Mus musculus: one gene and its partners. The protein of the gene in region 1 binds, or shares a complex with, the protein of each later gene. Links are inferred from orthologs where the notes say so. Each region holds a gene or a part of one and is shown in the gene's direction. Other genes may lie near its edges.

Region 1 (7,229 bases):
GTCTCCAGTGATTTTGATTTGGAATTGTTATTTTAAAGTGGTGTACGTTTACGGTAGAGATTTTCTTTGTTCCTTTCTTCCTTTTTTTCTTCCCTCCCTCTTTTCCTTGCTTCCCCACAGGGTATCTCCTTCAGTAGGCCAGACTGCTATTCCAGATAAGACTGTGTGCTCGTACACCGAGCTAAGCCTATATGTTCTTTAGGGTACATTGAAATGCTTTTTACCTTTACCCCAATTTTTGTACAAATCAACTCCAGTTTTTTCTTCTGTATCCGTCCAGAGCTGCACCATGCCTTAAGACCACATGCCTATAGAGTTTGAGGACATGCTGTAGGCCCCGGGTGCTCCTCACTGCATCTTTACTGTATTTAAGCAGTTAATCCCTGCTTGTTGATTTAATGAACTGGAATTTTGTAACATGAGCCCTGTTCGGTTGCATAATTTAGAGTCTATTCTTCTAGAGCACACTCAACACCACTGTGAGTTTCTGTATGGACTCCATTTGTTTGATGTAAGTCATAGGGACACTTGCTTAGCAAATGCTTTCCAGATCCATCAAAGGTTTATGCTTGGAATTTTCTCTTCCTGTTTCCCTCTTGATGTCCTTATATAACTTTGTCCTGTGCATTGCTGGCATTCCTTACTTCCTGATTTCTTTCCAGTGAGTGATACGTTGATTTTTTTTTTTTTTTTTGTCAATTTAAATATCTGTACCAGGGCATGTCCCTGGGGCTGAGACAGAAGTGACAAACAAAGAGGTCAGTTAAGCAAAATATATTACTGACACTTTAAAGGCACAATTTGTCTCAGGGGCTCCTTAGGAAACCAGACATGAAATGTTGATCGTTTTGTTTTCCAGCTTGTTGTGTCTCTCTAGGACACACACACACACACCCCACCCCCACCCCCACGAGGGGGGGCTGGGTATTACTTGCAATTCTTGCCCAATTCTTCTATTTTACATTTCTGCCTTGGACTCTGAATCTTTAGTATCTAAATATTCATTTTCACAGCTAGTCTACACCAGCTCTGATGGTATTCATATAAAAGGGGTGAGAGGTTCACCTTCTTTGCTTCTTTGCTTCTTTGGCAAGGTATCTTTTTTAAAAGCAGAGTATTACATACAGACTTTACGTCCACAACTCCATCTGAGTCCTGGCATAGAGGCTGAATGTATGCATGCAGTGTATCACGGGGGTGGGGGGGTGGGGGTGGGGGTGGGGGTGGGGGTGGGGGATGGGGTGGGGTGGTGGTGGTGGTGGTGGAGAATAAGGCAAACCAGAGGAGAGACCTTGAAGTCCAAGACTTGTTTCATTCTTAAGTTGCAGCAATGGGTATGATCTTACATTGCAGCCCAGATCAACAGGAGCAGTTTATGAAAAGCATGAAATGTGGAGGCGCCCACTTCTATCTATAAAGTCAGGAAAAATAGTACGATTCTCCTCTTGATGTTTGAGACACACTGAATTGAATGAACCTTTTTTTTTCCCCAATACAACCTTGAATGAACAAGATATTTTCTATTTATTAGTAAACCACCTCAAATTAGAAGTATAAAAACCAAATAGAATTTTGCTCCAATGATACTAGTTTCTTCACTTTCTCCTATTTTATTCTCTCTCCCTCCCCCTTTTCTTTGCTACAAGGTCTCATACTGCTCAGGAAGCAATTCTCCTGCCTCAGCCTGTGGAGTGTGGAGTTTATGGGTGTGAGCCACCATATCTGTCTCTTTCATTTCATTCTGTACTACTTGGCGTTCTCCCAGAAGTCATCCTTAACTGTCACGGTGTAGAAGGGTCAATCCTACATTACCAGACTGTTTAACGTAGTGTGCTGGTAGGAAAACAGAAACCACCTCAGTGACCCGAAAAGTTGGAACGGATCAGGAGGCTCTTGGAAACTTGGGCAGCTTCTTTTTTTCTCTTTAGGATTCAGATTCCTATCTGGAGATAAGGAGGACAGTTCCGTCCACAGATCCCTCAGTAACCCCCAGAGAGCCAGTGACAATCCTTTCTCTTCCCTAGTAAAGAGCATCCCATCTTCTAAGATGGATCTTGGGTCAGAGGCCACTCGAGGCAGCTTCTTCCCAATGGCGTTTTAGAAATAGGAAAGGGCAGCCCGGCTGCAGAGAGGCCCGGAGCGCAGCGCGTGGGCTCCCGGCAGGGCTCCCGCAGCGCCAGCGGCCAGAGGGCAGGCCGAGGCCGCCATATTCTCGCCGACCACGCCCCGGCAGCCCAGCGGCAGCCGAAGGTCGGTGTCCGCCTGCCGGACCCGCTCCAACGGCCGTGACCGCCGCGCCGGAGCTCGCACAGAGGGAGGCGGCCGGCGAGCGGGGCGGGCAGTCGGGGGCGGGGCGAGGAGAGCGCGAGCTGTCCAGGAGGGGCCGCGGTCCCGCCCCTTGCGCTGTGCCCGCCCCCTGCGCCCGTCCTCCTCCTCCTCCTCCCGCCGCCGCCGCCCCCTCCCGGATCTGTGCTCCAGTTCAGAGAAAGGAGAAAATGTGTGTGTGTGGCGAGGGGGAGGGCGAGCACTGAGCAGCCGCGGCGCGCCTGGCAATCGGGCCGGGTGGGCGTCCGGCGGAGGCGGGGGCGGAGGCGGGGAGCGCGCGGCGGCCGGCTGCCCGGTTTGCGAGCGAGCCGAGTGGGCGCGGGCAGGCCGAGGGCGCCCGGAGCCGAGTCAGGCGGCGGCGGCGGCGGCGGCGAGGAGCGGGCGCGCCGGGCGCGCTGAGCCGTCGGCGGTCGCTCGCTGCGGGGCCGCCTCGGTGGATGAGCTCGGGCCGCTGGGCGCACAGCCTTGGGCAGCGTCGGCGGCGGCGCCTGGAGGGCCGCGCGCTCTCCGAGAAGGCGGCGTGTGAGCGCGGCGGGGCGCGGCGGCCTTTCCTCGCGCGTCCCAGGCTCCCGGCCCCGCTCGTTCCCGGCCCGCCTGGGCTGCGGGCCCGGCCGCCTCCTTTACCGCGGCTCCCCTGAGCTCGTCCCTGACGCGCGCCCGGGCGGCGGGGCTCCGCGGCCGCCGCTGCCTCGGGGGAGCGAGGGCGGAGGGCGTGTGTGCGCGCGTGTGAGCAGGGCGCCGGCGGGGCTGCAGCGAGGCACTTCGGAAGAATGACTCTGGAGTCCATCATGGCGTGCTGCCTGAGCGAGGAGGCCAAGGAAGCCCGGAGGATCAACGACGAGATCGAGCGGCAGCTGCGCAGGGACAAGCGCGACGCCCGCCGGGAGCTCAAGCTGCTGCTGCTGGGTGAGTGCGGCCCTTGGGCCCCGGTACCCCCCGCCCCGGCTCGCCGCTGCCCTCCCCACGCGCGTCCCCGGCCGGCACCCGCACCCGCACCCGCGCGCGCGCACCCAGGGGCCGAGGGCCGGGGCTCCCGGGCGCGGATCCGCGGCGTGCGCCTTTGGTGTCAGCTAGGGCCGTGCTCGGTGCACAGCGTCTGCGGGACGGCTGAGCGTCCGCGCGAGCGGCGCGGGTGGGCAATGGCGTGCAGTGCGGTGGTCGGCCAGCGTCCATTGTGGCGCGTTGTGGGGTGGAGAGGGAAGGGTGGAAACGGGGAGCAGACCCCGGTCTGGATTCTGCTAGGAAAGGTGCTGAGGAAGCCTTGGCTGGCGCTCCAATAAACCCGGGTTAACGTACTGGGCAGGGGCGGGGCGGGAAGACTAGCCCAAATGTGCTATACTGTAGCCACCAGGCCACTGACAGGAGTGACCCCAGAGAGTTGCATGGCCAGTGGATGGTGACAGGCGTCTCTATGAACCATTCCTTCCGGATAAAGATGAAGGATCCGGGAGTGTTGTACTGTGTGGTTGTTGACAGCAGACGGGTGTCTTTTGTTTAATGAGGCGACCCAGATGTATGCCTGAATTCACAGCAGTTTCTACTGGAAACCAGCGCAGCCTCTCAGTTACTCTCCTGGAAACAAACAGAAACCTTTTGTTTAAAACGGACATTTTAGTATCTTGCCATCTGGGCTCCAAGAAAAAACGGGAAGAGTGAGAGAAAATTTCCCTCTGATCGCGTTTAAAAAAACAAAACAAAACAAAACAACAACCCAACATTCTCCCTTAACATGAAATTAGCAAGAAAATGCTATTTTCAAATAGGAGCTATATTGATTATTATCTCCGAGAGAGTGTTCGGAATCAAGCGATCAGGGTCCATGTACAAGCTAGCATGACATAACTATTGCTATTGTGGTAGGAAGCAAGAACTGCTTTGCAGGAACAGGCCTGAAAAATGTCTGCACTTGTGTTTATTTGTTACCGCTTCACAAACATTTCTGTAAGAAAAGAATGTTGCATTGTTGGGATTTGAGAAGACACCCCCCCCCCCCCCGTTTTTTTCTTTTCATTTTTCTTTTTTTTGCTATCTGGAGCATTCCATGTGCTGGCTCCAAGAACCCATTACCTTGGGGCCTGGCTTGCTTATCGTCAGGAGCAAAATATCATAATCACACATGGTTCCCAATGCTGTTCCCTTCCCTTAACCAAGGTCTTTATATTGAAATCCAGTTAGGTAAATGTGCACATATAATGTGTTCATAAAGACTAGAAGGCAAGGGGCTGACTAGAAAGATGGGTTTCAGGGGGAATAAGCCAGAGCAATGGGGAAACTGGGTAAGCCTGTCCACCCTCATCATTTCTGTTTCTTCTCAAGGCTGAAAATGGAATGTCTTATCTTTTTTTTTTTTTTTTAATTGAGAAGGGAGAAGCAAGGGCAAGTGGGATAAATATATGTTGATCCAGTATACAATTAAGAGGAAAGACACGTGTTTTAGAGATTTTTCTCTTAGACCTGGCTTTTAATTTTCCTTTGTTTATAGTCTTCATATGTTTGTGTTTAGCTAGGAACAGGGCATTTGAGGTCTCATTGACCAAACTTATTTGCCTGAAATTTGACAGCTCCAGGTTTCCCAGCAGCTATGAGTTAGGTTTGTCAGAGGGCCTAGGTTTACATGCCTGAGAGGGGAATACACTTAGAGAGATGCTTAATTACATGCTGTGTATTTTAATAATATACCATGCTTTAAAAAACGAACGTGGAAGTGATTTCCCGAGGGGGAAACCCCCCCAGTTCTCCAGCTAAGAAAGTGGTAGCTGTAGGTGTGTGGCGGCCCTCCCGCACTGATTCTAGATGGAGCAGGGTTTAACCTGGCCCCACCTCACCCGTCAATGACAGGCTGTTGGAGCTGGTAGGAAACCTGCCACTTACTCAGCACCTACATCCACGAGCAACATTTAAAAACCATACAGTTCTCAGTCAGAAGCGGGCGCCCTGGACATCCTTAGCAACCACGGCTGCCCTCAGCCTGGAGGGGCTTCTTTCCCAAGTGCGGTATCCACACTGTTTGTGTAGTCATGATAGACATTAAGGGTAGACTTCTCTCTCTCTGTCTGGGTATGACTTTAGCAGGAAAATGAGTGTTGAATTGAACAAGGGAGCATCTGGGGGAGGGGCTCCTTCTTGGTGTGCTGCCTTGTGAGTAGTCTTCATTTCCTAGTTCTTTCATTCATTTTACCAACAGCCATCCAGAGGAGATCATAGAATGTATGTCATCACATTTTAAAGTTCTTTTTACATCTTTGATCTCTTATTTACATGGAGGGATCATGCTTGTGTTGAAGTTCTGTGTAAAATTGTTTTCAAAGTAAGTATTAACTCAGGGTTGACACTTAATGGGAAGGGTTTGTTCCACAGGGGTGCAATATATTGGTCACCTAATTATTTACTTATTAAAATATAGACGCATCACAAAACTGGTTATCTGACTAGATAATCAAGTGTGCCTGTAAAATCTGGGCTCTTTTGAGTCATTATCCATCAGTTAGGCCAGTGTGTTCCACATTTATTCTACAGAGCTTACACATTTTGATCTCATTCTTGAAGAATGATCTCTGACATTTATTTCATCACAGTCGAGAGTTTCATTTTAACTTAGTAACTTTTGTCTTATTCTATTTAGTTCCCTCATATTAGTGTTTGTTTTCTTTGACACCTCAAAGAAAACTTTGTATTCTATATAGGATATAAAGAAGATATTTGATACTCAACATTTACTAGGTATAGAAGTATATATTGTCTTGCCTATAAAATTGAATATCATGAATATTCATTAGATATTTTTGTTGGTGGTACATAGATCACAGCATTTAATTACTGATTTGTCTTCAAGTCTCTGAGGACCAAATGGCTTTAGGTCGTAGATATTCACTGGGAAATTTTATTCAGTTTCTTAAAGATATCTCGTCCCTCCTCATTGACCTGATCTTTTTACATGTGTTTAAAATCTTTACTCTGTAGACCTTAGTCATCAAATTAGCAATCCCTTTTTATTGATGGATTCTTTCTATTGAAAGGAGACAAGTTTAGGTCAGGCTTAACTGGAATATGCATTTGGTTTTTGAAAGGAATAAAATCGACATTTCAGCCTTTTTATATATTCCTTTCTGCAAACTCCTGAGGGTAAGATTGTGTTCTTTTGTTCACTTCTACATCCCAGCTTCTAAGACAGATCTGGAAGAATGGTCTTAATCAGTACTTGCTGATAATCATACGCTTCTTTGAGCCATGAGTTAGATGTGCATCCCAGCAGGGTGTGTATTGTGCTGGGTATGTTAGAATGGGAGTAGCATTTGATACTAGGAATCGAACCCAGAATCTCACACTTGCTAGGCAAGTGCTCCAACATGGAGCCCCCGCTCTCTTTTTACTTTTTGAGACAAGGCTCACTAAGATGTCAAGGGAAGCTTCCGATTTGTGTCCTACTTTATCCTCTTGACCAGTTGAGGTCATAGGCATGCACCATTAGCTCAGAGTCAGCCATGCTTATAGAATGTCAGTGTGAGGAAGACCTGTCTGTTCTATACTTTGGTTACTGCTTATACAGGCTAGTTCACACCTTTCATTCTATGTATGCATTTCTCCCATTACGCATTTGTCATAGTGAATTTTTAATATTCCTTCTCTGATTATCAAAACGATTTTTGTGATTAATGCATACATTGATATGCGGGAACTTCAGCTGGTTAAGTACAGACAGTTAGGAACTGGTATTTGTATTGAAGGTTGCAGGTGTAAAGCAAGAAGGGACCTGGGAGGCTGGGAGTTGGGGCTGTGTCCAACTTAAGTTAGAGAGAGTTGCTTTGTGCACATTTAAGCATCCTTCCAATTCGCTCTCAGTAGCTGTCAGGATTGGCTGCCCTGAACCCTCTAATGTAAACATATTGGAGATACCAAAATATGGT
Region 2 (6,710 bases), on another chromosome or scaffold:
CAATTATCCTGCCTCTACCTCCTGAGTCTTGGGGTTACAGTGTCTGGTACACAATAGGCAAACACTCTACCAATTGAGCTACATTCCCCATCTCCTTAGGAATATTTGTTTTAATTTTTTAATTAATTAACTAGAGATGGGAGCTCTATATAGCCCTGGCTGGCCTGGAATTCTATAATTCTATCAAGCTGGCCTCAAAATCATAGAGGTCTATTTGCCTCTGCCTCCAAAGTCCCATACTAAAGGCATATGCCGCTACACCTGGCTTTGTTTTAAAATTGTTAAGTGATTTATGTATTTTATGAATGAGTAGTCTATCTGCATGGCACCTGTATGCCAGAAGAGGACATCAGAACTTATTATAGATGGCTGTGAGCCACCATGTTGTTGCTGAGAATTGAATTCAGGACCTCTGGAAGAGCAGCTAGTCCTCTTAACCGATGAGCCCTCTCTCCAGCCCTTGTTTTAATTTTTTCTTTTAATCTTATTTAATATATGAGTGCTCTGTTGCATATACATCTGCAGACCAGAAAGAGCATCAGATCCCATTACAGATGGTCACGAGCCACCATGCGGTTGTTGGGAATTGAACTAAGGACCTCTGAAAGAACCAGTGCTCTTAACCGCTGAACCATCTCTCCAGCTCTCTGCCCCCATTTTAATTTTTAAAAAGTGCTTTTTTTTTTGGACAGTTATAGAAGAAATAGAAACAATATATATGTTTACGTCAAATGCTTTTATTTTCCTAAGGCCACTGTGATGAGCAGAGCTATAAAACAACAGATGCTACTCTCTGGGTTCTGAGGTGAGGGGTCAGGAATGAAAGTGGTGGGGAAAGAGAATCTGCCCATCTCCAGCATCCGGTTGGGTGCTGCCATCTTTGGTGCCCCTTGGCACAGTGCCAGCCTTTGTTCCCATTGTCCATCATGTTGTTTACTCTGCTGTTTTCTCCTTTTCTGTCCCCAGCTTCCCTATGTCTTGTTAAAAGACCATTGTCATTGGACCGAGGGCCTGACTGGATAACCTGGATAGTGTTGTTAAGATCGTACCTTAGGGTTGCAAAGACCCTTGTCTACTGGGGATTAGGACTTGAACACCTTCTTTTTTGGGTAGGGAGCATCTTTATTTTTCTACAGTGGGTGGAAAGGGAACTGCTGATCTCTGTAACCTCCAGTGCTCCTCCCATTACCCCTGTGTCAGCGCAACGTGGTGAAGCCTACAGAAGCGAACGGTCCTGTAGAACCTGAGTCTGGAACCAGAAGCGGATCAGATAACTGAGCACACAATATATTAGAGAAAGTCAGGAGAGGTATACTGTCTTCCTTGTCAACGTGAACAATGTTCAGGTGTTTCCAGACGGTGGAGGCCTCAGTCTCATCATTAAAGTTAAATTCCTTAGCGTTCACCCTTCCTCCTTCAGGTCAGTGAGGGAATACAGGATGGGGCAGGATGAAGACTGGGCTTGCCCGTCACTGCTTGGTAGGGTTGTTCTGTTTCGCTTTGCTTTGGATGGAATCTCACTATGTCACCCAGGCTGGTCTCAGATTCCTTAAGTGAAAACAGTCCATTCACCTCAGCTTTCCAAATAGCTGAGACTATAGGCACAACCTACCACGCCCAGGGTTATTTGTGGTTTAGAATGTTCAATTCATGGTATGAAGGAAGCATCCTAAGTTAAAGCTTGCTGTTACACGCTCAAAAGTCAGAGCACATTTGGTCCTGATGCTAAAAGGCTTGCCTGCCAACTGAGCTCAGTGGGAGGATGTTTATGAAGCCAGCAGAGAGGTGGGGAATGCCTACCCATTATAGTATTTCTTGTGGGCGGACAAGGGAATGCCTCCTGGTTCTGGAATCTCCCTAGGCTGGCCCCTGGGGCAGGGTGTGGTTGACGGCTAGGTTGAATCTTGGCTTAAGGCCAGAGTAGGATAGAAAATGAGAACCAAGACAGCTGATGGCAAGACAAGGCTGCCTTACTCACCAAAGACTCGGGAAGAGTTACCACACAATCCTAGACTGATCTATCTATCTATCTATCTATCTATCTATCTATCTATCTATCTATCTATCTATCTATCTATCATCCATCTATCTGTCTTTACTAACTGACCAATCAAAGACTGCTGGTGGTTGTGTGATCAAATAAAAGAACTAATGAGTATAGCTACTTAAAGAAAATAAAATGAAACCCTGTCAGTCTTAAGATTTCTAGAAGTCGCTGTCCTATACGGAACCCAAAACTCTCACTGTTAATGAAATACCATTGTCGGGGCGAAGATGTAGCTCAGTGGTAAAATACTTGCCAGCACACACAAGAATTAGACTTCAACCGTCACCAACTGCCCTGTGTAGGACGGTCGGTCACTGAAAGAGAATATTGTCTGCAATACTCTAATGACATCTGTCTGTGTTCATCTGAAATGTTCCATTTAAAACACAGCAGCCTTACTGTTGGACCATTTATCTCAGTAATGATTCTGCTCCGCTTTCTTTGTACAGGACGCAACAACAGTAAAGGAAGAAGTCTTATTGGCAGATTAGAAACCCAGCCTCCAATCACTGGGAAAGGGGTTCCGGTAGAACCAGGCTTTTCCATCGATGAGTTCTCTGCGTCCATCCTCACCGGGAAGCTGACCACGGTCTTTCTTCCGGTCGTCTACATTATTGTGTTTGTGATTGGTTTGCCCAGTAATGGCATGGCCCTCTGGATCTTCCTTTTCCGAACGAAGAAGAAACACCCCGCCGTGATTTACATGGCCAACCTGGCCTTGGCCGACCTCCTCTCTGTCATCTGGTTCCCCCTGAAGATCTCCTACCACCTACATGGCAACAACTGGGTCTACGGGGAGGCCCTGTGCAAGGTGCTCATTGGCTTTTTCTATGGTAACATGTATTGCTCCATCCTCTTCATGACCTGCCTCAGCGTGCAGAGGTACTGGGTGATCGTGAACCCCATGGGACACCCCAGGAAGAAGGCAAACATCGCCGTTGGCGTCTCCTTGGCAATCTGGCTCCTGATTTTTCTGGTCACCATCCCTTTGTATGTCATGAAGCAGACCATCTACATTCCAGCATTGAACATCACCACCTGTCACGATGTGCTGCCTGAGGAGGTATTGGTGGGGGACATGTTCAATTACTTCCTCTCACTGGCCATTGGAGTCTTCCTGTTCCCGGCCCTCCTTACTGCATCTGCCTACGTGCTCATGATCAAGACGCTCCGCTCTTCTGCTATGGATGAACACTCAGAGAAGAAAAGGCAGAGGGCTATCCGACTCATCATCACCGTGCTGGCCATGTACTTCATCTGCTTTGCTCCTAGCAACCTTCTGCTCGTAGTGCATTATTTCCTAATCAAAACCCAGAGGCAGAGCCACGTCTACGCCCTCTACCTTGTCGCCCTCTGCCTGTCGACCCTCAACAGCTGCATAGACCCCTTTGTCTATTACTTTGTCTCAAAAGATTTCAGGGATCACGCCAGAAACGCGCTCCTCTGCCGAAGTGTCCGCACTGTGAATCGCATGCAAATCTCGCTCAGCTCCAACAAGTTCTCCAGGAAGTCCGGCTCCTACTCTTCAAGCTCAACCAGTGTTAAAACCTCCTACTGAGCTGTACCTGAGGATGTCAAGCCTGCTTGATGATGATGATGATGATGGTGTGTGTGTGTGTGTGTGTGTGTGTGTGTGTGTGTGTGTGCACCCGTGTGTGAGTGCGTGGTAGGGATGCACCAACATGCATGGGGCTGTCATTTCCTATCCAAGCTGCCTGTCTCTGCACCAATCACAAGCATGCAGCTCTCCCCAGGATTGCCAGAAGCCTCCTCCTTTGCATGAGAACAGTCTTCCACTCTGATGAAAAGCATCAGTATCAGAAACTGAAACGAACTGAGAGGAGCTTGTTTTGTGAAAGTGAAGAGAAGATGGAGGGTCAGTGACTTGCAAAAAAAACCAACCAAACAAAAACTACACCTGGCAAGAAGGCTAAGACTCTCTGAAATGCTTCCTTTTCCATCTGGAGTTCGTCTCGGCCTTGTTCAGGACCTGAGGCCCTGGTAGAGCTTCAGTCCAGTTGATTGACTTTACAGACTTGAGAGAGGAGTGAATGAGGAGTGAATGAGGCTCCTGGCGGCATCCTAACCGGCTAACAGTGGCCTTGCTGGACAATAGGATTCAGATGGCTGGAGTTACATTCTCACACCATTTCATCAGAACTATTGGGGATCTTGATCAATGTGCAGGTCCCTTAGCGTCAGTAACCCTGGGAGCTCAGACACGATGGGGGTGAGGGTGGGGGTGGGGGTGGGGGTGAGGCTCTACAAACCTTAGTGATGACTGCAGACACAGAACCATGGAGCTGAGCCTGCTTCTGCTTGCCAGGGCACCACTGTAATGTTGGCAAAGAAAAACCAACAGCAGTGTTTTGAGCCTCTTTTTTTGGTCAGTTTATGATGAATTTGCCTATTGGTTTATTGGGATTTTCAGTTCCTTTATTACTTTGTTGTAATTTTGTGTGTTTATTAGTCAAGAAAAAGAAGATGAGGCTCTTAAAAATGTAAATAAAATTTTTGGTTTTTTGGTTTTTTAACTTGGGCCAACTACAAATACTGCTTAGGTTTTTTTCTAACTTAATTGTTAACTACATCATGTGAACTTAAGACATTTTCATGATAAAGCATTACTGTAGTGTCAGTTTTCCCTCATCCTCGATCATAGTCCTTCCCGTGAAGCAGGGCCCTTCCCCTCCCCCCCCTTTGCCGTTTCCCTCCCCACCAGATAGTCCCCTGTCTGCTTTAACCTACCAGTTAGTATTTTATAAAAACAGATCATTGGAATATTTATTATCAGTTTTGTTCACTGTTATCAGTTTTGTTCACTAATTTGTCCAATAATGGAATTAACGTCTTCTCATCTGTTTGAGGAAGATCTGAAACAAGGGGCCATTGCAGGAGTACATGGCTCCAGGCTTACTTTATATACTGCCTGTATTTGTGGCTTTAAAAAAATGACCTTGTTATATGAATGCTTTATAAATAAATAATGCATGAACTTTAAAAAAAAAAAAAACAAGTTCTTTCAGGCTGTGTGTTTGTATGAAGGGGGGAGGGGAGGAAGAGAGGGGAATCCTGCTGTTCTAGACATTGTGATCTGACGCCCACCCCACCCTGTCTGTTCTTTTCTTTCTTTCTTTCAATTTTAAACAGTGTGATGCTCACTCCACCCCTTCCTTCCTTCCTTCCTTCCTTCCTTCTTTCCTTCCTTCCTTCCTTCCTTCAGCCCCTCCCACCCCCCACTCACACACACACACACACACACACACACACACACACACACACACACACACAACACTAGGAATCTACACCTGGCCTTGTGAATTTACACTTTTTCTCACACTAGTTTTTCAAATAAAGTGTAGTTCCTGTTGTTCTGCCACAACTACCTTTCGTTAATTGTTATGTCTAAAATTGTTTTCTGTGTATTTCTACAACGTGGTCATCCATTTTTAAAGGTTATAGACCCTTTAATAGTCTGGATATATTACAATGAATATATTCCCTCCTGGATGGCACCTTGACTTAGGCTAACTCACGTGATTTTTTTTTCTTTTTGACTATTTCAGCATTATTGCTTTGTACATCTGTGTGTAGGCATCATTGGCATTTACTTTACTTTTATTTAGACGGGTTTCACTATATTGCCCTGAAACTCTCTATGTACACCAGGCTGACCCGTTCAACTCCTAGAGATCTGCTTGCCTCTGCCTCCCGAGTGCTGGGATTAACTGTATGTATGCACCATCACAGCTGGATCTTTGAGAATGTTTGTGAAGGCTGTATTTCTGGAATAGAACGGTCAGCTGAAAAGGTGTGTGTCTAGGGGGCCTGGAGAGATGGCTCCCTAGTTAAGAGCATTTGTTTCTTTTCCAGAGGACCTTGGTTCAGTTCTGCTGTTCTAGACAGCAGTTCTAAGCACCATGGTAGTAATGGCTTACAAACCATCCTTAACTCCGGTTCCAGGGCCCTTGATGGTCTCTCTGACCACTGGAGGCATTCAGCGTGCATGTGGCTGGCTCTCTCTCTCTCTCTCTCTCTCTCTCTCTCTCTCTCTCTCTCTCCCTCACACACACACACAGACACACACACACACATACACGAAGGACAAACACACACACATTAAATAAAAACAACTAAATCTTTTTTTTTTAATTTTTTTTTTTTAAAGATTTTTATTTATTATTATATGTAAGTACACTGTAGCTGTCTTCAGACACTCCAGAAGAGGGCATCAGATCCTGTTACAGATGGTTGTGAGCCACCATGTGGTTGCTGGGATTTGAACTCTGGACCTTTGGAAAAGCAGTCGGGTGCTCTTACCCACTGAGCCATCTCACCAGCCCAAAACAACTAAATCTTAAAAGAAGAAGTTGCATATCTATTGTGGGGTGTGCTAGATGCTTATTCTAAATTTTGATAATCTTTTGCCAAATTGCTTCAGTATCTAAATGCCTGTATCTGTTTCCCAAAGCACTTGACCACATTTCCTGCCACCAGCCTTTTGAAATTTTGCTGGTCAGATTTGATACCTCTCTGTACTCAAGCATCACTGTGTAGCAGTTGAAGTACAGGCCTGATCTATGCTGAAGCTTGGCTCTGCCCCTTAGCTCTCCGAGAGCGTTGCTTGTGAGGATAATTACGTCTTTCACATAGGCGTCAGGGA
Region 3 (7,390 bases), on another chromosome or scaffold:
ACCTCATTACATAGAAGGATTGCTAACTGACTGGGTGGGGACCAACAAGGCCTGTCCAGATTCTTAAGATGTATTTTCAGATGAAAGAAGTTAGAAAGTTTCCTTGTAGTCAATTAAAGTTAGGAAAATATTAGAATTTTTATGACCTGCCTAGAGGCTGGAGTTACAAGCCAGGAATTGTGGTGGCAAAGCAAAATGTATGATAAATAAGAGTTCAGGTAATGTTGCTCAGGCTACCGTAAACATCGAAGCATGCATAACCAATGGGCAATTACAGTGTACCCCCTGAGTTTCCAAACCAGTCAGTTGTACTGGAAGCATCTTAAACCTATTTAGAGTGCTGAGAATCCTATGTAACTTTTTTTATTTTATAAATTGCACATAGAGGGATCCAAAGGATCAGAGGAACAGCAGTGGCAGCTGCCTGGAAGACAACAGGAGCCTCCTAAAGTGCAGCCTGAAGACCAGAGATGTGGATGTATAAAAGGAAGAAAATGCCGGCCCTGGGTTTCCTATGAGCTGGTTGTAAATAGGAATGCACAGAACGGGATATAATTAGGGGCTAAATGATTGAACTACAACCAAGCACCCTAAGATTTCTAAATCCTGTCAAACGTTTCTTTGCAAAGAGTTACCTCGGGAAGCAACTGCAGGCACTCTGCTAACTATGCAATGATCACATTGTGATACTGCAGTTGCGGGCACTCAGATTTCTGGGAACTTTCCTTCCATCTTTGTCCTCAAAGGGAGCTAACATAAGTGACTCTAAAGTTCGTCTTTCTAGAGCCAGGCCCCTGGATAACTCTGCTGCCAAGACTGGGATTCTCCTGGCTGGCAGGAACTTAACGCCTCGCCCAACATAGTGTTATTGAGCAGCATCGGAAACATCTCAGGTGGTAGAGGCAGATAGATCTCTGTTAGTTCGAGGCCAGCCTGGTCTACAGAGCGGGTGAGTTCCAGGACAGCCAGGGAAACTCTGTCTCAGATAAACAAAACAAACAGAGAGAGAGAGAGAGAGAGAGAGAGAGAGAGAGAGAGAGAGACATGCGCATGCGCACACTCCTGTACACAGCAGCCCTTGTTAGACAATACCATTCACTATGGCTGCTTCAGCCATAGCTTCTGAATACTGGGCTCAGTGGAATGTAGGGCAGTGTTTTCCAAATTTCAAGTATCAGTAATCCTTTCCATAGGTCATTTCAATGACTCTCCTACTTATGTAAACTTAGCTCAAAATTACCACAAAAGAAATAGGATTGAAAAGTGAAGAAAAAGTGACGATATTAAATTCTACTTAGGAGCTGTTGCCTAGCAAAGGCTCTGAGGGAGAGTCAAGCTCTGTTGTTAAATCAAAAGATTAGCAAACCTTAGGGAGGTGTAAAGATAAATAGCACAAAAATCATCCTTCCTCCTTGACCTAATCCACAGGAACAGAATTAGAAAAGATGCAACTTCTTTGACTGGTAAGACACTGTTCTTAGAGTCAGGGTCCCACGCTACTCAAAACCAAGCCCTGTGGAGGATGCATATTCATGCACGCTGTTCAGGTGGCCACGCCCTTCACGTATTCAAGCTGACTGAGGGTAAGCCTCAACTCTACAGCTTCATAGCTCTTCCATCCTCCATACCGTCACCTCCACGGGCTCCAGTCTCCCATGTAAAATGGGCATAGCAATTGCTCCTGGGAGTGTCACTTAACCAAACCCCAATTCAAACATTATTGGAGAGAATTAATACAACCTGATCATCTTGGGGTCTCTCTCTCAGCCGCTGGGTTGAATTATGCTGTCTGGTCCAAGCAACCATATTGTTGAGATTCCATGGTTGATTTCTCCCTGTTGTGGTTAGGAAACACTATCTCATACCAAACATCATGGGTCCCTGCCTCTTACAATCTTCCTCCCCTCCCCGATCTTTCATAATTTCCCATGAGCCTTAGGTGCAGTTGTTTTATGGCAGGTGTATCAGTTAGGGTTCTCCATAGTCCCTTATTTTCTGTATTGTGTAATGAACAGTCTCTATCTGTTGGGAAAAAACTCCCTCCCCCCTTTATTTTTTAAAAAAGAACTACACTTATCTGTAGAAACATGTCTGCCATGATATGAGTTCCCCTCTCAAACCTAAGACTTCTCTAAGCACAAGTAGTTAGGTTTATGGTACCAGGCATGAACTCATCCCTATGGAGGGAGTCTTAGTTGATTAGACAATTGATGTTTATCCCCATGATAAAAGTACCATTATTGGACTACTATGGATGTCTGGCTGAAATACTCATTGTGGTTCATAGGAATAAACACTATCTGTTCTAAGAAGACTGGGAGGCACCGAAGTCTCCATGCTTGCATTGTAACGGTTGGGTAGGATTCCATTAAGCCACACTACCTTAAGTTCTTTAACCTATTTCCTATTGGCAGGTTCGGTGTTGTTCACTTGTTGCTTTTATTTTGGTGTGTGTGTGTGTGTGTGTGTGTGTGTGTGTGTGTGTACACATTCATGTGTGCTGGCCTTTCACCTTACTCCAGAACAATGTCTGTGGCTTTATAAACACGTTAGCGCCTTAAGGTCTCCCATTTTGATGTAGGAGTCCTGGGATTGCAGACACGCTATGCAGCAGGTTTCGTATGGATCCCAGGAGCTTGAACGTAGCTCTCCTCTGTGCTTGATGGGCATAGCTATAACGCCATTGTTTAAATATTATTATTTTATGTTGAAAATGAACCTGTTATATATATTTGCATCGCAACATTATTTTATTCTGGAAATTACTACAAAGTACTGCAAAAATTGTTTTGGCTGTTTCTATTTGTTTAGTTTGTGTTCGTGTGTTCGTGTGTTCGTGTGTGTGTGTGTGTGTGTGTGTGTGTGTGTGTGTGTGTGTTGGCTATCAAATTGCCTACACAAAGGAGTTGATAGGCTTTAGGGCTGAAAAGCAAATGCTGGGTTTCTACCAAATAAATTGATTTTTCCATTTCATTCAAGTATTATGATGAGTGGCCAGCGCTGAGCCAGAGCCTGAGCACAACTGTGAGCCAGGCTGGCCTCTCCTACCTTCAAGAAGCACACCCTGATGCTGGGGCAAAGCTTACCAGATCTCTGGGGTAGTGGAGGGAGGGGGCTGTTTGTGTACAGCCCGCTGAAGCAACGCTGGAGTCTAGCAGAACGCCTAAGAGTGTTTATTATACTGTGAGTTCTGGATCTTTACTAGGAAAAAAGTGCCCCATCCTCTGGCACAGTTGCCTTGTGATCCTCTTTCCATCTCCAGGGAGGAGCGGGAAGCGTGTGTGCTGCGGGGAAGGAGGGGGTTGTATCTTCCCAGACCAACAGCAGGAGCAGGATCGGAAGCCTGGGATGGCTAGAGCCTCATCGCAGACAGGAGGACTCCAGCGCTAGACCTCGGTCTCTCAGGTACCAAACCCGACAGGTGGCCTAGGGGGAGGGACGTCGCGCCCGCAGCGCCGGAGCGCACAGCTCAAAGGCTGACCTGAGAGATCGAGGGAGCCTGGGAGATTCCAGGCGGGCTAGGGCACGGACTGTAAGTGTATTTGGAGGGATTTGGGGGCCATAGACCCCAGGAAGCACGCAGGCGAGAGCAGGCAAGGGGCGGAGCCCCGAACCGGGCCACAGTGGCCGTCAGAGGGTCTGCTGGGAGGCAGTGGCTTGACCCAAGGCGAACAGGGAACTTTAGAGGGTAGCACGCTACTCAAACAACTTAACTTGACATCGCAAGCCCGGCAGACTGGTACTGCATCCTGAGCTCAGCATCCAGCTGGTCCTGGGGAAACAGGGCCAGCAGGTGTTCCTGTGGAAAGAGCCACGACAAGGACTCCAGGTAGGACTTGGGGACACCAGAAGTGCGGGCATAACGTACCCGAGTGGCAGAGGAGGCTTTGATGAGGTTTGGGGGCAGCGAACAGTAGCAGGTCAGACCTGGGAGCCCTGAACGCTGGGCTTCAGGGATAGCGGATCGGATGCCTACAAAGATGAATAGAGTTCACAGTAAAAAAAAAAAGTGGGGTGTGTCTTGTGCCTCCGGTTTATTTATCCCTGTGACAGTCAAAGAGAACTTTTCCCACTGACAAGGAGAGAGGTAGCTTTCTGGCGCGGGCGTGTGTGTGTGTGTGTGTGTGTGTGTGTGTGTGTGTGTGTGTGTGTGCGCGCGCGCGCTGCCCTACCAAAGTACTTGCCTCAGTGGCTCCAAATTAGGGTGTCTGGTCACCAGCCTCCATATTCCTTGGAGGTAAAAAAAAAAAAAAGTAAGTTGATGGAGTTATTGTTTTGATATTGTAGTTTTTGATTAACAACACACACGGTAAACTTGGAAATAACACCAATGCATATCTAGAGACCAGTTTCCTTTCTAACATGAGTTTACTCATTGTGCTTTCTCTCTTCAGTTCTGAGTCTTTTATCTCCCTCCTTCCTCTCTTTCTCAGTATTCTGAGAAAGAGGCATGCTGGGGAAGAGCTCCTAACAAGTTCCCACCCGTTCTTCTCCAGGATTCCTCAGTGCAGTAAAGTGGTGCGGTTCACTGTTGGGGGAGGTGAAGGAGGGCTGTCTTGCCAAACTCTCTGCCGCCTAGAATTCATTCCCCCTCCCATTTGGACTCCAGGCTCCAGGTTCCCAAAGTGGCATGCTTGGGGTGTTCCCTCTGGAGGACTTGGAAAAGTGAGCTTTTAAATTGGCCCTGTGAACAGGGCAAGGCTTTGTGATAGGCAGAGAAAAAAAGAAAACACAAAGGAAGAAATCAGGGAGACCAGGGAACAGTGAGGGAGCAGGAGACCAACATCTTTGAGAGCAGAGGAACCCCGGGCCAGCCCCTGTCATTCAGGAGCTGACCCTGGGGAGTTTTGCTAAGGGAACACATGTGGTCTTCATGCTGATAACTCACATCATCAACTCTTTTCCATAATCAACGAATCAAACCATGTTTGTAGATTAAGACAGAGTAATTGGTCTTATTTTTTTTTACCGGTATAGGAGGTTCTTTAGAAGCTGTGTAAACTGTTTAAAGTAACCTCCATCTATGCCAGTGTCCCTTGTTTTCCTCATTTTTCCTTTGTTGAACTGGATCCTGCAAAGTTCAGGCATTAGCTGTTCCCTCTCCTGCAGACTTAAGGATGACGTTGTAACTAGAGAATGGATTGGGCTGGGTGCAGGTGCAAGGCTGATGAGGGGGTAGTGCATGACTTATAAACAGAGACACAAAAATGTAAAAAACATCAGTATTCACTTAACGTGTTTGTAGAGCCTAGCTACACACCAGATCCTGGGAACAAGATGGTCAATAAGACCAGACAAGGAACCTGCCCTCCTGGTGCTTACAGATGCTTGGGGGAGGGCAGCTGTCAGTAAAATGATTATCGACTATGTAATTGCAAGCTAACATAAACCCTCTGAGGGAAAGACACAAAGTCCACTGTGGGTGTACATAGATGGGTCTGTGAGACTTGGGAAGGCTTTCCCAACAGAGCTCACTGACCCTGAGGTTCTAGGGTGATCAGGATGAAGAAATCTGATTTTTGAGGTGAGGTCAGACCGTTTTGATTAGGAATAGCATTTGGCTGCTGGTCACCAAACAGACTGGCTGCTATGAAACTTTTGTCCCTTGATGTGTGTCCACGTGCTGTTGGTGTTACCGGCGTGAGGGGAAAGAGTGTCTTGTCGTCATAGGCTGGCTGTGTTGTCTGTTGGCCGTGGTTTTTTTCATTGCTATAATTCTTGCTTTTGAATGAAATGTTCAGATTAACTTAACTCCTATGATTTCATTTTATTGTGTACCATAAAATGTACACTGCTGTATAAATGTGAATCATGCACCTTCCCATTGAGAAGGTAAATACGGAGATAATACTTCTGCTGCTTATGTGGTGACAGTTTGGCGTTATCACTGAATAGCATCCCAGGTTAGAATAGCTGTGGCAGGTGGACTGCAAATATTGCCCCTCTATCCCTAGCTACTGCTCTCATTGGAAGGATGTGTCACACACACACACACACACACCCTGGGAACTAATTCCTAGCCTTGTATACTCGAAGCTCCAACTCTGCCTTGAGCCACAGCTTCAGCTTGTGTATTTCAGAAGAGAGGGGTATTTAAAAGATTTAGAGTTTTAGTTACTATAGATTTTCATAACCAGCTTTTTAGTAAAGGCAAATATATTGTAACATATTAACAATTGTGGTGACGCTGTAAATGAATAAAAGTCCCACAATGTAAGGTCACAGCACAGATACTCTAGAAAGCCGTGTGCTTCACGTTCGTCCAACATAGGCTTTCATTTATTAAATGTGATCTGCAGTAACATTTCTATGTGCACAGAACCACGCTAACCATTGTGGGTAAGATGGATTAGAAAGCCACAGTCCCAGCATTTAAGGAGTCCATCCCTCCTCTTAGGGACAGAACTCGTATATACAGGTGGAGGTATCATGAGCAGGGAAGAGAGTGGTCAGTTCTACCAACCAAGGAGGAAGGCTCAGTTCATAAAGAAAGAGGCACCACTTGACTTGAATCTTGAAGGATGAGGTACCCCACCAGTTAAAGGAAGAGGAGAAAGATTTAAAGTGGCGAGAGGCAGGCAGGAAAACAAAACCCGTTGCTAACAAAACCCGAGGCCTGCAATAGCATGTCAATTCTAGGATTTGTCGGTGGTTCTAAACAAGGTAGAGAGAATAAAGGGTGCTTACATAGGGATTTGCATGAGTTCATTTAAAGATATCAAAACCACCCTGGTTATGATGACTGTATCCCAAACTATGGGGGCTGTGGCAGTGGCACTGAAAACAATCGATATTCAAATGCTTCTTCCATGCAGACCGAGGCACAGTACTCAGTGACTCATTGCGAGTGAGAGCGGAGAGAGAGAGAGGATGACCCCACTCTGCCGTGCCATCCAAGTCATCTTGCCTTAAACAAAGGGAATGTAGACATCAGGCAGGACTGGGAAACAGAAATCTGGGCAGTGCTTATATCAGAGAACTCCTTGGCTGAGCCCCCAAAAGCTACCTTTCTAACTTAGAAGACCTGGCAGCCTCTGTGCCCATGTGTAATATGGTATCGAGGGGCTGGAGAGATGTCTCTGTAGTTGGGAACACTTGCTGCTCTTGCAGAGGAACAGATTGCATCCACACGGAGGCTCACAACTGCCTGTACCTCTACTTCCAGGGTACCCAGTGCTCTCTTCTAGCCCCTGAGGCACCAGGCGTGCACATGATACACATATAGGCACTCGTACATATACATAAGATGGAAGTGAATCTTAAATAAAATAAGATCGAGAAGGCCTACTGATCCCCAATAAATAGAATCTCCTCCCCTCCCCGACCCCTGGCTTTAGCTCAAGTGTGTGAACATTTGAGTTCACCTACTGCTCAGTGCCATGAAGCATAT
Region 4 (6,590 bases), about 9.2 Mb from region 1:
TATCCTGCCTGTCTCTGCTATCCGCTCAGGTGAGTCCTCGGGCTCTGGGCAGTACTGGGGCAGCTTGGGAGTTTGGCCAGGCAGAGATCAACTTTCCCCGCTGCCCACCCAGGATACCACTATGTCTGCCTGCGAAACGAGGCCAACCAACCTTTGTGCCTGCCTGCCCTGCTTATCTACACTGAAGCTTCTGACTACATCCCAGATGACCACCAGGGTGAGGGGGACAGGGCGATGGGTTCGGCGGAGCTCAGGCGGGTGGGGACTGGGCTTGGGCATGACTGATTTAGGTGCCCCAGTTCAAGTGGGATCAGACTTCCCACCCTTGGAGCCCTGAGCTGGCAGAAAGTGTGGCCTGGGCTTTGGTCTGAAGACTGGCCCTTCTACTTCCTCTAGACTATGCGGAGGCCTTGATTAACCCCATCAAGCACGTAAGCCTAATGGACCAGCGGGCCAAGCAACTAGCCGCTCTCATTGGGGAGAGTGAGGTGAGTGGGCAGGACTAGGCCCACCTTGACATTGAACAGCTCTTCCACAGCTACCCCTAGCTACCAACCCTGCCATCTGATGCCTTTCTCCAGACTCTGTTGTTAAGTGTCTTATTGCAGAGCCTAGTTTCACGTCTCTCAGCCTGCCCCATGCCTGGGAAGCCTGCTCCTTTTCTGGGTTCTTTTGTCTCACTCCAACCTAGAAATGAAGTGAAGTGGCTATTGCTGCCAGCCCTAGTGTGAGGTCAGTCACATCCTTGGCTTACTGTCCTGTCCCTCACAGAGATGGGACACTGAGGCTATGGGAAGTGGCTCAGCACCACACAGCCTGGCTGGGCCTTTGGCCTGTTTTCAGCCCCTAAAGCTTGCCCTTTCTGCCATGTGGTACTGTCAGGGGATTTTAGATAGCTTACAGTGGGCAGAAGGGCTGTAGATTTTTGCTTTTGTGTGTAAACATGTTGGTTTGTGTGCACATATGTGTGTGTGTGGTTTTCCAGAGACACACTCTACCTGATTTTCTGAGATAGGGTCTCTCATTGAACCAGACTGGCTGGCCAGTGACCTCAGAGAGCCCCCTATCTTTGCCCACCCAAGCAGTGGGGTTATAGGCATGAGGTGATCCAAGCAAAGGCCCTCAAACATTTATGGTAGGTACTTTACCAATCAGTTCCAACCCCTTACTTCTTCTCCCATGCTGGATAAGGATGGAGTCCATGGTCTTAAGCAAGCCAGGCAAATGCTCTACCACTGAGCTATACCCTCGGCTCACTTATGGACTCTTGAAAGAGGACATTCCCATTTGTGATGATTTGGGTTGTGTCTAGACAGGGTCAAAGCATTGGGTATGCACACACTGGGGTACTGGAAGCCAGGGAAGCCATGAAGAGATAGTGGCTTCAGTGGGAAGGCGCCAGGAGCAGAGGTTCAGCCACATGTCCTGACCCAGTCCCCATGGGGCCTGTGGCCGCCAGGAAAGAGCTGACTGCAATTAGGGCTGTGAGGAGCTGTTAGTCGAAGAGACTGGTGCCCGCTCTGCACTGGCTTCCTTTGCTGATTAAATCAGAAGCTAAGCATCCAAGAGGAGGACAAACCACCAGGCGGGCGGGCGGGAGGGAGGGAGGGGCGCAGAGGAAGGCCCACGGAGCGGGGCCAGGCTTCTCCAAGAAGCATCTGCTCTAGGAACTCAGAGCCTTCCTGATGGCTTGGGCAAGGGTCTAGGGTGCCTGTTGTTCTCATTGTGTAGGCAGAGAGAGCTGGAAGGGGCATAGGGCATAGAGGAGGTGGAAGGATGAAGAGAACATTTTTTGAAAGAGTTTTCTCTTACAGGCTCAGGCCAGCACAGAGACATATCAGGAGACCCCGTGTCAACAGCCAGGGTCACAGCTCCCCTCCAACCCCACACCTAACCCACTGGATGCCTCACCTCGCTGGCCCCCCGGTCCTACCACTTCCTCCACTAGCTCCTCCCTCAGTAGCCCAGGTAAGGGGCAGCCTGTGCTAGGGGTGGGCCACGGGGAGCCACCCGCAGCTGGATCCCACAGCTTCTCACCACAGTCTCTGCTCTCCAGGGCAGCGAGATGATTTGATTGCCAGCATCCTCTCTGGTAAGGGGCACAGCCTGATCTGGGGTAGGGCCACCTGGTAGGCATCTGCCCCACCCAGCTCAGCCATGCCTGGCCCACCCCAACAGCTAACCTGCCTCCTTTGCTCCGCCTTATAGAGGTGACCCCTACACCTCTAGAGGAGCTCAGAAGCCACAAGGCTATGGTGAAGCTACGGAGCCGGCAGGATCGAGACCTGCGGGAGTTGCATAAGAAGCACCAGCGCAAGGCTGTGGCCCTCACCCGCCGCCTTCTGGATGGCCTGGCCCAGGCCAGGGCTGAGGGGAAGTGCCGGCCCTCCCCCAGTGCCCTGTGAGTGCCCTGCAGCCTGTTGCCACCTGTGTTGTGTGCTGACAGGAATATCAGAGGGAGGCGTGCCTGTGAGTCTCCAGGCTGGGTGGTCATGCTCAGATGGCAGGAAGGTGGAGGCAGGTTCCCATGCCGGGCCCTCACTCTTCCCTGGGAGTGACACCTCTTCTGAGGTCTCTGGCCAGGAATCCATCAGCTGTGTGAAGTGTGAAGCTAACGGGACAGCTGCTGGCCCTTGCTAGGCCTCCTGATTTGCATAGCATGGCTCACCTAGCTGGTGCCTGCTGCTCTGCTGGCATGAGCTCTGCCCTAACTGTCCTCCTCTACCGGAGACCTGGCACTGAGAAGGTTCCCTATAGGGGCAAGGCCACCAACTCGGAGGACGTGAAGGAGGAAGAGGAGGCCAAACAGTATCGAGAGTTCCAGAACCGACAAGTACAGAGCCTGTTGGAGCTGAGGGAAGCCCAGGCAGATGTGGAGACCAAGCGGAAGCTGGAGCATCTACGACAGGTGAGGGACAGGTGAGGGGCACGTGGTACAGGCGACGAGAGCCAGCTTCCTGGGTAGCTCTGCCGTCAGCCCCATGTTACCTGCTGGCTGCTGCCTGCCTCCCCAGGCTCATCAGCGGCTCAAGGAGGTTGTCCTGGATACACACACAACACAGTTCAAGAGGCTGAAGGAGCTGAATGAAAGGTACTGACAGATAGAAGGTCCTGGGTGAGGGTGGGGGACTCTGGTGACCAGAGTCCAGCCTCTGACTCCCCCTGCTAATCTGTGCTGCTCCAGGGAGAAGAAGGAACTCCAGAAGATCCTGGACAGGAAGCGCAACAACAGCATCTCAGAGGCCAAGACAAGGGAGAAACACAAGAAGGAGGTGTAAGTGTGATGGGAGCCACTGAGTGAGGGGAGGCCGGGACAGAGCCTGGCCCTGAGCTGTCCCTTTTACTTCTGCAGGGAACTGACAGAGATTAATCGGCGGCACATCACTGAGTCGGTAAACTCCATCAGACGGGTGAGTGAGCCCCACCTCCCCTCCTTCACCAGCAGGAACTCAGCTTTTCAGTGCCCACCTTGGTGCCACATTTTTTCTCCAAAAGGCTCCTAATGCCTTTCCTCCGGGGACTGTACCAACTGCCCCTGGTCCCTGCGTCATATCCAACACCTTGGGAGCCCTGATATCCCTCTGCCCCAGTGACCCCCGCCCCAGGCCTTGCCCTTCCCTCAGCTGAACTCTTGCCCGCCTTTACAGCTGGAAGAGGCCCAGAAGCAGCGCCATGAACGCCTGGTGGCAGGGCAACAGCAAGTCCTCCAGCAGCTAGAGGAAGAGGAACCCAAGGTGAGGCCTGGAGGAGGCGCACAGGCAGGTAGCAGGGGAGCTGGGCAGCCTGGCCCCTCTGGGACACTCATCCTCTTGTAGCTGCTGGCCCAGCTGACCCAGGAGTGTCAGGAACAGCGAGAGAGGTTGCCCCAGGAGATCCGTCGGTGCCTGCTGGGCGAGACAGCAGAGGGACTGGGGGACGGCCCCCTGGTGGCCTGTGCCAGCAATGGTCATGCACCTGGGAGTGGTGGGCACCTGTCCAGCGCTGACTCGGAGAGCCAGGAGGAGAACACCCAGCTTTGAACTGGCTGAGCAAGAGGTGGCCACAAGTCTGGGTGGGCACTGGGCTATGGGTAGAAGACACTAATACTTTGGGTTTTTTTTAACCTTTTATCTTTAGAAATTTTATTTTTTTAAAATCTGAGGCAAATGCCTCACACTAACTCTAACTCCCTGCATCTTCCTGGGACCTCTTGGTCCTCAGCCTCCCCTTCTAACTTCAGGCCTAGGGAAAGGGCTAGGGCTTGTACCCCATAACATTCACCTAAGATAGGTACTCCCCGATTCCCAAGGAGCAGCTAGTGGAACCCTGGAGTTCTGGGTAGTAGAAAGCAACCCTTTATATTTGGGGAGTTTTGTTTGTTTGTTTGTTTGTTTTTTACATGAATAAAAGTGGACTTCAGGGACCCTGTGTACAGTGTAGTTTGGATGAAAACACTCTGGGCTCTAGTTCTGGTACTGCCATTTTTCTGGGGCCTCAGTCTCCTCCTCTGTAAAATGGGGTTATGCCATTGTGGTCAGATTTCTATCTATTTCAAGGTTTGAACTTGGCTGCCTTGCCTAAGGTCTGTGGTGACCTTAGTCCCTGTCAGAGGTAGCTTCTGGCCTTCCAACATCTGTCCCGAGCCCCTAAGTTTCCCAAACCCATTAATCTCTTTTCCCTCAGCCTTTCCCCATCTCTCTTTGTTCAGGCTCAGACCCTGCTTTAGGAAGCCTTCCCTACTCCCCACCCCTTCCTGTTGCCTGATATGACCCAAGCACCCAGCATCTTCTACCAGGGCTGCTGAGGGCCCCACTAAGGATTGAAGCTGAATTTTCAGATTAGTGGGAAGGGTCCATAGCTCTTAAGAGAGAAAGGAACTTGATAGTCTTAAGGGCTATTGCTGGCAGGGCTAGGATACTCTGCTGATGCCCTGTGGCCCTCTCATCCCTATGAGGGAGATGTTTTGCCTGTTTTACAGATATGGAAACAGGCCCCGAATGGAAGATGCATTTACTGGGCCATAGCTAAGTGGAGACCTGCTGGAAGGCAGGATGGCCTGCGTGTTAGCTCTGTGCTATATGGCCTTCACCAGCCGGAGGACATGCTCTGAGCCTGGGACCAGCCAGGAACACCAGAGACCCTGTGGCAAGAGAATGGGCCAAGCTCTGCAGCTGGGGCAGGCTGGCACTCCTTCAAGGCCTCTCCTAGCTTCCTGGCCGGTGGGGGACTGGCTGCTCCCCCCTCGGAGGAAGGCAGCCTCTTATCTGGGCTTATCTCCTGCCAATGAAGTGTTTGCTTTGCTTTGTTTTTGTTGCAGCCCCAGGCAAACAGATCGGGTAGGAAAGCCAGAGAAACTGGGTGGCCTGGGTTGGGCTTCCCAGGGCTAAGGCCTCAGCTCTCCCTGAGATTCCTGCCATTGCCCAAGTCACCTTCCTCAGCTGTCAGTCAGTCCGTGTCAAGTTTCCAGATCTGCCACTTTTCCGGATCCCATGTCCTATATCGCTGACTGGCTGACCTCCATTTTCCCAAACACTCCATGTGGGTTGGGCCCTCAAAAAACAAACTAAGTCCCAAGATCCTGGTGTGTCCATCTGCAGAGAGTGTCAGTTCCAGACATAGCCTCACCTTCAAGTCTGACCTACTCCTTGAGGCCCTGTTGTGGGGCCACCCCCTCCCATGTTCCGGGAAGCAAAGAGTTGTGGCGCAACTTATCTGCATATCCAGCGCAAAGCACTAGCCTGGGCTATGGGGCGCCAATAAATCTCTGAACGGAGCTCTGGGCCCTGCTCCAGGTCCCTGTGAGAAGCTTCTACGTTCCCTAGCGATCAGTCTGCCGCCCCGCGCCGCCCCGCCCCACGTGTCTTGCCAGGTCCCTGAGCTGCGCTGGCCCCAGGCCGGTCAAACAGTAGCTGCTCACAAGGACTGACCCAAATAGGAGCAAATGACCCCCCTCCCGCCTGCCCCCCGGGAGCCGCGACATGGTTTGCAGAACGCTAAATTCCGGCGGCCGGTTGGACTGCGGCTCCCAATTACCATATTAGAGATAAGGGGCTGGCAGTCCCAAGGGTCTAGCCACGCTCCTCTTCCCCACCCAAGCCAAGCAGCCCGACTCCGCGGGTTGCCTCTTCTTCCTCTCAGTCCTTAGAGCTTGTTTCTTCCTCCGGTAAAACGAGTCTCTCTTAAAACTATCAGGGATAGAGATCCGGATTGCGGAACCCCAAACGAAGGATAGAGGCGCGGCGGCACATGCGCAGGCTTTATTATAAAGCACGTTTCTCGCGACCTCGGGTCCCCAGTTATGACAGGACAGCACCCAGACCCCCAACTTAGCACAGGCACCCGAGGGCAGTCCAGAACAGGAGAGGGAAAACAGCCACTTCCGGAGGCTTAGGGGGTGGGGTGCGTGGAAAACTTTGAAACTCCAAACAGGAGCCACCCCTCCGTGGCTATTGCACGCACCGGAAGGGACTCAAGCTGTACGTCAGCTCTTCTCCCTGTTAAAGGGACACAGCGATCCTCTTTTTTTTTCCTAAGGCCTCGAAAGACTTCCGCCCACACCCAATATGGCGGGCGACGGGAGCGGGTAGAGTTCCGGGATGTGGAGCAGAAGA

The links.
Region 2: the proteins of Gnaq (region 1) and F2rl1 are in contact, whole or in part, in a cryo-EM structure (PDB 9D0A), measured with the Homo sapiens proteins. The link is inferred for Mus musculus from reciprocal best matches to the Homo sapiens genes GNAQ and F2RL1. Residues at the interface, in NP_002063.2 of Homo sapiens: Arg37, Ile323, Tyr325, Asp346, Ile348, Leu349, Gln350, Asn352, Leu353, Glu355, Tyr356, Asn357, Leu358, Val359; in NP_005233.4 of Homo sapiens: His108, Pro109, Ala110, Met114, Gln172, Arg173, Val176, Ile177, Pro180, Met181, Gly182, His183, Ser184, Arg185, Met265, Met268, Leu269, Met274, Asp275, Asn277, Lys280, Lys281, Arg284, Ala285, Leu288, Ile289, Tyr344, Tyr345, Val347, Ser348.
Region 3: the proteins of Gnaq (region 1) and Casr are in contact, whole or in part, in a cryo-EM structure (PDB 8SZG), measured with the Homo sapiens proteins. The link is inferred for Mus musculus from reciprocal best matches to the Homo sapiens genes GNAQ and CASR. Residues at the interface, in NP_002063.2 of Homo sapiens: His63, Leu196, Gln197, Ser198, Ile323, Tyr325, Ile337, Arg338, Phe339, Phe341, Ala342, Lys345, Asp346, Ile348, Leu349, Gln350, Leu351, Asn352, Leu353, Glu355, Tyr356, Leu358, Val359; in NP_000379.3 of Homo sapiens: Lys644, Ala645, Asn647, Arg701, Val702, Leu704, Val705, Phe706, Ala708, Lys709, Ile710, Pro711, Thr712, Phe714, Phe801, Arg873, Thr876, Ala877, His879, Ala880, Phe881, Val883, Ala884, Arg886, Ala887, Thr888, Leu889.
Region 4: the proteins of Gnaq (region 1) and Plcb3 are in contact, whole or in part, in a cryo-EM structure (PDB 8UQO), measured with the Homo sapiens proteins. The link is inferred for Mus musculus from reciprocal best matches to the Homo sapiens genes GNAQ and PLCB3. Residues at the interface, in NP_002063.2 of Homo sapiens: Pro185, Thr186, Thr187, Ile189, Glu191, Pro193, Arg202, Gln209, Arg210, Ser211, Glu212, Arg213, Arg214, Lys215, Trp216, Ile217, His218, Val240, Glu241, Glu245, Glu249, Glu250, Ala253, Leu254, Arg256, Thr257, Ile258, Thr260, Tyr261; in NP_000923.1 of Homo sapiens: Pro257, Arg258, Leu259, Asn260, Glu261, Val262, Leu263, Arg707, Asp709, Lys710, Ile719, Asp721, Gly722, Ile723, Val724, Ala725, Ser845, Asp846, Tyr847, Ile848, Pro849, His852, Tyr855, Ala856, Ala858, Leu859, Ile860, Asn861, Pro862, Ile863.

The regions. Positions count from the first base shown.
Region 1 is NC_000085.6:16,130,231-16,137,459, forward strand, and holds the start of Gnaq (guanine nucleotide-binding protein G(q) subunit alpha), read left to right. Parts: upstream 1-2,453; 5' UTR 2,454-3,095; coding exon 3,096-3,231; intron 3,232-7,229.
Region 2 is NC_000079.6:95,510,068-95,516,777, reverse strand, and holds the end of F2rl1 (proteinase-activated receptor 2 precursor), read left to right. Parts: intron 1-2,496; coding exon 2,497-3,605; 3' UTR 3,606-5,060; downstream 5,061-6,710. UniProt on the Homo sapiens protein: Receptor for trypsin and trypsin-like enzymes coupled to G proteins.
Region 3 is NC_000082.6:36,557,869-36,565,258, reverse strand, and holds the start of Casr (extracellular calcium-sensing receptor precursor), read left to right. Parts: upstream 1-3,124; 5' UTR 3,125-3,405; intron 3,406-3,456; exon of another isoform or gene 3,457-3,829; intron 3,830-7,390. UniProt on the Homo sapiens protein: G-protein-coupled receptor that senses changes in the extracellular concentration of calcium ions and plays a key role in maintaining calcium homeostasis.
Region 4 is NC_000085.6:6,951,525-6,958,114, reverse strand, and holds the end of Plcb3 (1-phosphatidylinositol 4,5-bisphosphate phosphodiesterase beta-3), read left to right. Parts: coding exon 1-29; intron 30-112; coding exon 113-217; intron 218-396; coding exon 397-488; intron 489-1,814; coding exon 1,815-1,968; intron 1,969-2,056; coding exon 2,057-2,092; intron 2,093-2,208; coding exon 2,209-2,401; intron 2,402-2,757; coding exon 2,758-2,908; intron 2,909-3,014; coding exon 3,015-3,091; intron 3,092-3,184; coding exon 3,185-3,274; intron 3,275-3,352; coding exon 3,353-3,410; intron 3,411-3,647; coding exon 3,648-3,734; intron 3,735-3,815; coding exon 3,816-4,019; 3' UTR 4,020-4,402; downstream 4,403-6,590. UniProt on the Homo sapiens protein: Catalyzes the production of the second messenger molecules diacylglycerol (DAG) and inositol 1,4,5-trisphosphate (IP3).